Linked DNA regions of Macaca fascicularis. The protein of the gene in region 1 interacts with the protein of each later gene in a pairwise test. Links are inferred from orthologs where the notes say so. Each region holds a gene or a part of one and is shown on either strand. Other genes may lie near its edges.

The links.
Region 2: the proteins of TMEM79 (region 1) and SFTPC interact in binary tests that used the Homo sapiens proteins (3 or more experiments, as listed by UniProt). The two-hybrid records come from large-scale screens. The link is inferred for Macaca fascicularis from reciprocal best matches to the Homo sapiens genes TMEM79 and SFTPC.

What each region holds. Positions count from the first base shown.
Region 1 is NC_088375.1:104,793,502-104,797,246, reverse strand, and holds the start of TMEM79 (transmembrane protein 79), read left to right. Parts: upstream 1-1,535; 5' UTR 1,536-1,677; intron 1,678-2,949; exon of another isoform or gene 2,950-3,049; intron 3,050-3,745. Other genes in the region: nonsense-mediated mRNA decay factor SMG5, read right to left, coding at 1,219-1,292.
Region 2 is NC_088382.1:25,233,190-25,236,934, forward strand, and holds SFTPC (surfactant protein C), read left to right. Parts: upstream 1-971; 5' UTR 972-1,001; coding exon 1,002-1,043; intron 1,044-1,136; exon of another isoform or gene 1,137-1,166; intron 1,167-1,660; exon of another isoform or gene 1,661-1,724; coding exon of another isoform or gene 1,725-1,757; coding exon 1,758-1,916; intron 1,917-2,263; coding exon 2,264-2,386; intron 2,387-2,618; coding exon 2,619-2,729; intron 2,730-3,082; coding exon 3,083-3,223; 3' UTR 3,224-3,241; intron 3,242-3,435; 3' UTR 3,436-3,649; downstream 3,650-3,745. UniProt on the Homo sapiens protein: Pulmonary surfactant associated proteins promote alveolar stability by lowering the surface tension at the air-liquid interface in the peripheral air spaces.

The DNA of each region.
Region 1 (3,745 bases):
CACTCGGCAGCATGATGAGGCACACGTGCCGCCCCTAGCCAACTCCTCACCCGCCTGGGGACTGCTTGGGGCAGCTCATAGTGGGAGCCCAGGGGCCGCTAGATTGAATCACTTTTCTATTTTTGGAGTAGCCTATAGTCCCCTCTGCCTCTGGCTTACAAAGCCAGAGAAGGCAGGATGCCTACTCAGAGGAAAAGACAACATGCCCTCTTGACTCTTTCACTGCCAAAACGGGGCCAAGGCTCTGAGGGTCGTCTTCTCATGCAAGCATCCGTGTTCTATAAAGCCCAAGCTAAATGAAAACCCCAAACTCTACTCTGTAGTAGAAAGCACAAAACTCAGTTTCCATGCTTCGTCCTATTTTGACCCAGTTATGGAGCCCATGTTCTAGCTGACCTACACAACAAATCCTCCACCTTCGATGGGAAGAGCTCATTCGGGCCTGTTCCTAACAGAGGGCTGAAGGGCTGAAGATGTGACTTGTGAAGCGTGGGTGGCATTATGGAAGTCAAAAACCAGGAACGGAAGTTGCCTGGCAAGAGACTACAGTCATGAGGCTGGGAGGAAGGCAGGACTCAGGAGTCCCCAGGTGCCTGGAATTGCCTCCCAGATCCCAAGAACGCTCTGTACACAAAGTCGTTCGTGGCCCTTCCAGGCCAAGACTTTCTCATTCAGACTCCTCAAAATTAGAGCTGTATGGGACTCTAATTTAGAGCACATCCAATTCAAATATTTATTTTTAAGGATAAAGAAACTGAGGCCCAAGGTCACATCGTGAGAGAGTGGCAAAGGATGGACCTAAGCCTAGCTCTACGGACTTTAGTCCAAGACTCTTCCTTGTAAATCCCACAGGATTCCAAGCATCGTTCCCTTCCGGGTTTTTCTACACCTATGACCCCACCTTCACCTACCCAACCCTTCCAGCCTTCAATTCTCACCCTATTACCCGAACTCCACAAAGCTTAGTGCCCGCCCCAAGCAAGCTCACTGCAGAGGGGATTCCTCCACGTGCTTCCCTCCAAACCTCCCACCCACCCAATTCCTCCTTTCAGTTCCATCCTGAGTTACTACGGGACCCCGCCCCGCCTCCAAAATTGCACCCTCCTTCCTCTCCCGCACCTTACCCCGACACACGGGCCCCGCCCGCGCGGGAGGCCCCGCCCCTCGCCGTCTCCCCACTTCCCTTGGCGGCTGCTCTCACGCCCTGGCCCCTCTCACCGGTAAAGCCGCTTAGTGTGGAGGACTTTTGCTTCGGGCTCGCTGCTCTCCCCTGTGGGGGGGCCTTGGCTCATGGTGCCCGGGTCCGGGGGCAGCTCCCGGTCACAGGCCCCCGCCACCCACCACTACCACCACCACTGCCGTCTCCGGCCGTAGCCGCAGCCGCCGCCGCCGCCGGCCCTGCTCGGCCGCCATCGCTGTGAGGCGGCTGCCCGCGACAGCTCCTCCTCCGCCTGGCAAATCTCGCGATGGCAGCCGCACAGTTGCGGACCAGTGGCCTGCTGCTACCAAATCTCGCGAAACTCGTTTTCCCTCCCGGGAAGTTGCCAGAACTAACTCTGGGCAGCATGGCCTCTTTCCGGCTTCTCCAAACCCTTGCGAAAAACTTTATTGGCAAAGCTATCAGAGAACTGACAGTGTACCCACTGAGGCGGCCAAAGCTTAACTGGATCAGGGCAGGTGAGCTTACAGCTAGGAGGGTGACTGCTTTGTCCCACAGTGGTCATTTGGTCCATCCTTCTGCCCCTTTCCCGCCTCCCCGTTTGAACCAAGCCTCTTTCAGATTACTGGTTAGAGTGACTCCAGCTTTCCCTTTTCCCCCATAATTTAAACAAACAAAAAGTGCATGTGAAAGTTTCCTTGGAAAGGGCCGAGCATCACATAGGAGTAAAGCCCTGGAAGAAATGACTTGTACAAGCGTCTTGGCCCTTCAGCTCCCCTCCCAAAGATTTCCAGCTTGCATATCTCTTACCACCCAGTAACATTTATTGAACTGCTGTTTTCCAGCCACAGTGCAGGATTCTAGACACAGAGAGGTGAGCAAGCTAGACACTATCCCTGCCCTCACAAAGCTCAAATGACTTTAGGGATAAGGACTCATAGGAATGAGAAGCTAGTCCCTCACGTTTCTATCTCCTGATCCTCACATTGGATATCAGGGCAGGTGGGCTCACAGCTAGGAGCGTGACTGCTTTGTCTTGTTTTAGCTTAAACCTAAGTTTAAAAGCAAGGGGTTTTTTTGTTTGTTTTGTTTTTTGTGTTTTGTTTTGTTTTTTGCCTGTGTACGAATTGTAATGAGAACATAAATTGCCCTTCTACCGCTATGCTCTTGGCTTCAGCCACCCATCTTCTTTCTGTTCCTGAAACAGCCTAAGTCTTTCCCATCCATTGGTCTTTCACTTGCTGTTCCTCTGCCTGTAACACTCATACTCCTGATTTCCCATCAGGTTTCAGCTCAAATATTACCTTACCAAAGAGGTCTTTCCTATAAAAATTGTCTAATTGATTTAGTTGCTAGGCTTCTTCATTATCTGTTACCCCAATAGAACATAAGCTTCTCAAGGGCAGAGACCTTGACTGTCATCTTGTTCTCCTCTGTGTCTGCCTAGAATAGTTCCTAGCTAATAATGGTGACCAGTAAATATTTACTGAATGAATAAGTGTACAAATTCCATCTCTGGGTATCCCAGCCTACTCCGAGCACCCTTTGGTCCACAAATCCACTTTTCTCCCTCTGCTTTCCTGAGCTGGGAGCTCCTACACATTCCAGTTGCCTAGAATGTGAACTTACCTCTTTGTCCAGCTGCATCCCAACTTTCGGAAAGAATGACGACATCCTCCTCTAATGCTTTTTTTGTCGGCAGATTCAGCAGGGCGGGGCCTGCCCCTTTAATCTGGGCCCCACCTGCTCTGGTCAGACAGGTTTTGAGACACAGGTAAAGGGAGGGAGACAGAGAGAAATACTTGCAGAGCCAGCAGGTAGCTGGGCAGCTCCTTCCCGGACAGACGGACAGACGGATGGACGCTGGGGACCCTCCACTCCATATGGAAAGTAAGAGGATGTCCTGGGTCCAAACTACAAGGTTTGGAGGGCCCTTGAGATGAAGGAAGGGAATCAGTCCCATCCAGAAGCAATGAGATGAAGGGCAGCAGGGAGGGGAGAAAGACAGGAGAGAAGGCATACAAAACAGTCATGATCAGACCTAAATGCCGGAATAACAGATCCAGGCCCTGCAGAGACGGATGAGGTGGACTAGTGAGGAGTTTGGGAACTGACCAAGTACCAATGAAGGAAGAGGGTGCCTGCAACTGCCAGCTTTTTGGGACAGATTAGTTGGCAAATCACTGGTCTCACCTGGAATGCAGGAGGGTTCCAAGCAGGGATATGCAGGGAGAAGGGGAGATGGGACAGTGGAGGGGAAGCTTCTCTGTCTACATACAGCAAGATCCTCGGTAGGAAAGAAACTTGGCAAAGTTCTAGACACCTCTTCTGCCTCCTGTTCCTGCATTAGGGTGGCCATGACTCCAGGGGTTTTGGTGGAGGGGCATAGAAGGTGTGGGTGGAGGCTGACTGAGGCCACAGCTGCCAGGGCCTGTGCCCCTTGACTCACCCTCTCCTGTTGGATGGCATTTGATGTCGAAAGGGTGCCTCCATTTCGGCTGCTCACTTCCTTCCCTCCTCCCTCTGTTTCAACGTCTTCCTCTGTACCAGTTTCTCCCTAAGGCTCCAGAAGGGGCCAAAGCCCAT
Region 2 (3,745 bases), on another chromosome or scaffold:
GCACTAGGAAAGAGAGAAAAGAGAAGGAGACAGTCCTGAAAGTTGATCATATTTGGGTGAGTATCATTCTCAGGGCAAATTTAGGATCAGAGGATGTAGAAGGGGGAGTCTAGAGGGGTAGAGTGTAGACCACAGGGTGAGTGGGCTGATTTGAGGATGGGGAGACTGGGAGCCCACCAGTGACCAGAGCCAGCCCTGTGCAGGGCTGTCCGGACAGAAGAAAGCAGTGTCAGACCTGGAATCTGCCATCAGCAAAGCCTGCAATTGACAGACAAGCCCAGAGCAAAGAAGGAAGCACTGCACATCAGTAAGAGCTTGCCACCAGTGGGGACAGTTTCCAGAATCAGGAAAATAATCACTGGGGGCAAGTTTGAGGCTGGTACTAGATGTGTGGGAGGAGACGAGGTGAGGGAAAGAGTGCTTGAAGTTGGAATTGGTCCTTGCAGGGAAATGTAGATTTATGAAACCCCCAAAACTGATGTCAAAGCACCTCCTGCTTTAGGCAGAGTCCTCTCTGAGTCTACAGGTGCTGCCTCCAGAACCCCCTTCCTGGAGTGCATCCCTATGCATCGAGAAATTCTGCTGGGAAATGTGATGGTCAGACCCTTGGCTGCCTGAGAGGTTCAGGCTGGCAGAAGAATCAGGAAAGCCACAGGGCAGCAGGGGCAGGTGCCAGCAAGGAAGGCGGCCACGCCAGGAAGACACCCACGGTGAGAGGTGCAGATGGCCCAAGGGCAAGTTTGCTCAGCTCACCCAGCTTTGCTCTTGCTGGGGCCAAGAGGACTCATGTGCCAGGGCCAAGGGCCCTTGGGGGCTCTCACAGCTGGCTTATCTGGGCTTCAGTTCTGGAGGGCCAGGAACAAACAAGCTTCAAAGCCAAGGGCTTGGCTGGCACACAGGGGGCTTGGTCCTTCACCTCTGTCCTCTCTCCCTATGGACACATATAAGACCCTGGTCACACCTGGGAGAGCAGGAGAGGACAGCATAGCACTTGCAGCAAGATGGATGTGGGCAGCAAAGAGGTCCTGATGGAGAGCCCGCCGGTGAGTGTGGTTGCGTGTGTGTGTATGTGTGTGCGCGCGTGTGTGTGATGGGCCCTGCCTCCTCTATCCTCCCTGGCCTGTTTCCTTATCCAGATCCATTCACTCAACTAACCTAGGACTGTGGTAAGTCAGGATGGGGGACACCAAGACCACTAAGCCTGGGACCCTTGTGGAGTTGTTCGTGGGCCGAGAGCCATGATTGGGGTCGATTGAAAGGGCCATCCGTAGACAGCTCCGAGTCAGAAGCCATGAAAACTTCAGAAGTCAGGGGACACTTCACAGAGAAAACGACACATGAGCTGGAGCCAGAATAAGGAGGAGCTCACCTGGTGGAGAAGGTGGAAGGCATTCCAGGAAGGAGGGAGACTTTGTGTCACCACATGGAGGTGATCACTTGGGGAACAGAGAGGGGCTGACCATGACTGAGATGCCAGGGGCCTGGGGGACACAGCAGGAAGAGACAGGTGAAGCAGGCTCTCTTGGGTCCCTCAAAACTAGACCCTGCTTCTAAGCTTCTATGTGTCTATGGGTTTGTTAGAATCCAAGCCACCTCCTCCAAGAAGCCTTCTCTGATCTCCTCAACCCTTCCCTGTCTGTCCATCGCATTGACCGTCCAGCCCTAGGCGGCCGTGGGAGGGTGTCCAGCTTGTGCAGGGAGAAGAGGGGCAGCCTCATGACCTCATGCCGGTCTCCCTGCCTGCCCCACTGTGTCAGGACTACTCCGCGGCTCCCCGGGGCCGATTTGGCATCCCCTGCTGCCCGGTGCACCTGAAACGCCTTCTCATCGTGGTGGTGGTGGTGGTCCTTGTCGTTGTGGTGATTGTGGGAGCCCTGCTCATGGGTCTCCACATGAGCCAGAAACACACGGAGATGGTGAGAGGTGTGGGATGGGGCGGCTGTGGGCATAGGACATGCCAGACAGAGGGGCTAGGTGGGATGGGCGATAGGAAACTGTCCAAGGGGAGTGGAGGGGAGGAGGCAAGGGGCACAGCTAGAAGGAAAGAGGCACAAACCAGGTGGCAACCCAGCCCAGGCTTTTCCACAGGGCCCCTGCCCCACAGCAGGACAGCGGCTCCCCCCAGCACCTGGTTCCACTCAGCCTCTCTGAGCTCTCGGGAAAGAGGGAAGCAAATTTGAGTACAGAGGCCTGAGGATGGGGATGGGTACCACAGGCTGAGTAGCAAAGGGGAAAACCAGGCAGCTCCATGCCCTATCCCCAGGTTCTGGAGATGAGCATCGGGGCTCCGGAAGCCCAGCAACACCTGGCCCGGAGTGGGCACCTGGGTACCACTGCCACCTTCTCTGTTGGCTCCACTGGCCTCGTGGTGTATGACTACCAGCGGGTGGGTATGCCCGGACCTCCTGACCCTGGGACCAATGACAAGGCTCTGCTAGAGCCACCCAGCTGGGCCACTTCATCCACATCCTTCTCTCCCCCTCCTCCAGCCCTTTTGGCCTGAACCCCAGATTCTAGTATAACTCCCATGCCCAACCTAGAGGGAGGTGGCTAAGGACCTGGGTCAGGGAGAGAGCAGGGCAGGGACCCCCAAATCATCTCCAGCATTCTGTGCCTAGCTCCTGATCGCCTACAAGCCAGCCCCTGGCACCTGGTGCTACATCATGAAGACAGCTCCGGAGAGCATCCCCAGTCTTGAGGCGCTCACTAGAAAAGTCCAGAACTTCCAGGTGTGTGTGTGGGTGAAAGGAGTGGGCTGTCTCCCTCCCAGGGCTGCTGGGAGGAGCGTCTGAATGGTGGCTATTTGTCACCTGTAAAGCATCGTTCCTTGTTGGCTGCCTGCTGACTGCCCCTCTCCCTATTCCCCTGCACGACTCCTTCCCTTCCCACCCCACTGCCAAGCTGCTGGGCTCAGCTGAGTCCACTCACTACCTGGTGGCTTCTGACTCTAGCACAGCCCCTCTTTACTGGTGAGGAAACTGAGGCTCAGAGAGATTGCCTGATATACCTGAAGTCCCACAATAAGGGCTGCACACGGGATACAAACTCACTTCCTAGATTTCAAATGGAATGCTCTCCGCAGGCCAAGCCCGCAGTGCCTACCTCTAAGCTGGACCAGGTGGAGGGGCGAGATGCAGGCTCAGCACCCTCCAGAGGGGACCTGGCCTTCCTGGGCATGGCCGTGAGCACCCTGTGTGGCGAGGTGCCGCTCTACTACATCTAGGACTCCTCAAGTGAGCAGGTGTGATCCCAGGGTCGCTGGGAGCGCTTGGGCCACCTGCCCGGGCTGTGGAGGAGCGCTCGCGCTGACCAGGCGCTGGGGCATCCACTGAAGCAGGGTCATCCAGGGAGCTCAGGGGAGGGGAGGCTCGCAGAATGGTACTTCCCACTCCCCCGATCCTCTCTGTCCATCTTCAACATGCCTTTGCTTCACAGGGTCAGTGGAAGCCCCAGGGGGACAGGAAACGCCCTGGGCAAAGGGTCTTTTGCAGCTTTTGCAGACGGGCAAGAAGCTGCTTCTGCCCACAACGCAGGGACAGGCCCCGGAGAAATTGGAGTTTGGGTAGAGGATGGGAGCGGGCAGAGGTGGTGCCCAGGGGCCCTGGAACTCCTGCCACAACAGAATAAAGCAGCCTGATTGAAAAGCAAAGGGTCTTCTTCTATCTTTCTGTAGGGCACAGTCCTGCCCTGGCAGGGGCCGGCCGGGAAGGGAAGTGCCTTGGGAGAGCAGAGTGGGGTTTGCCAT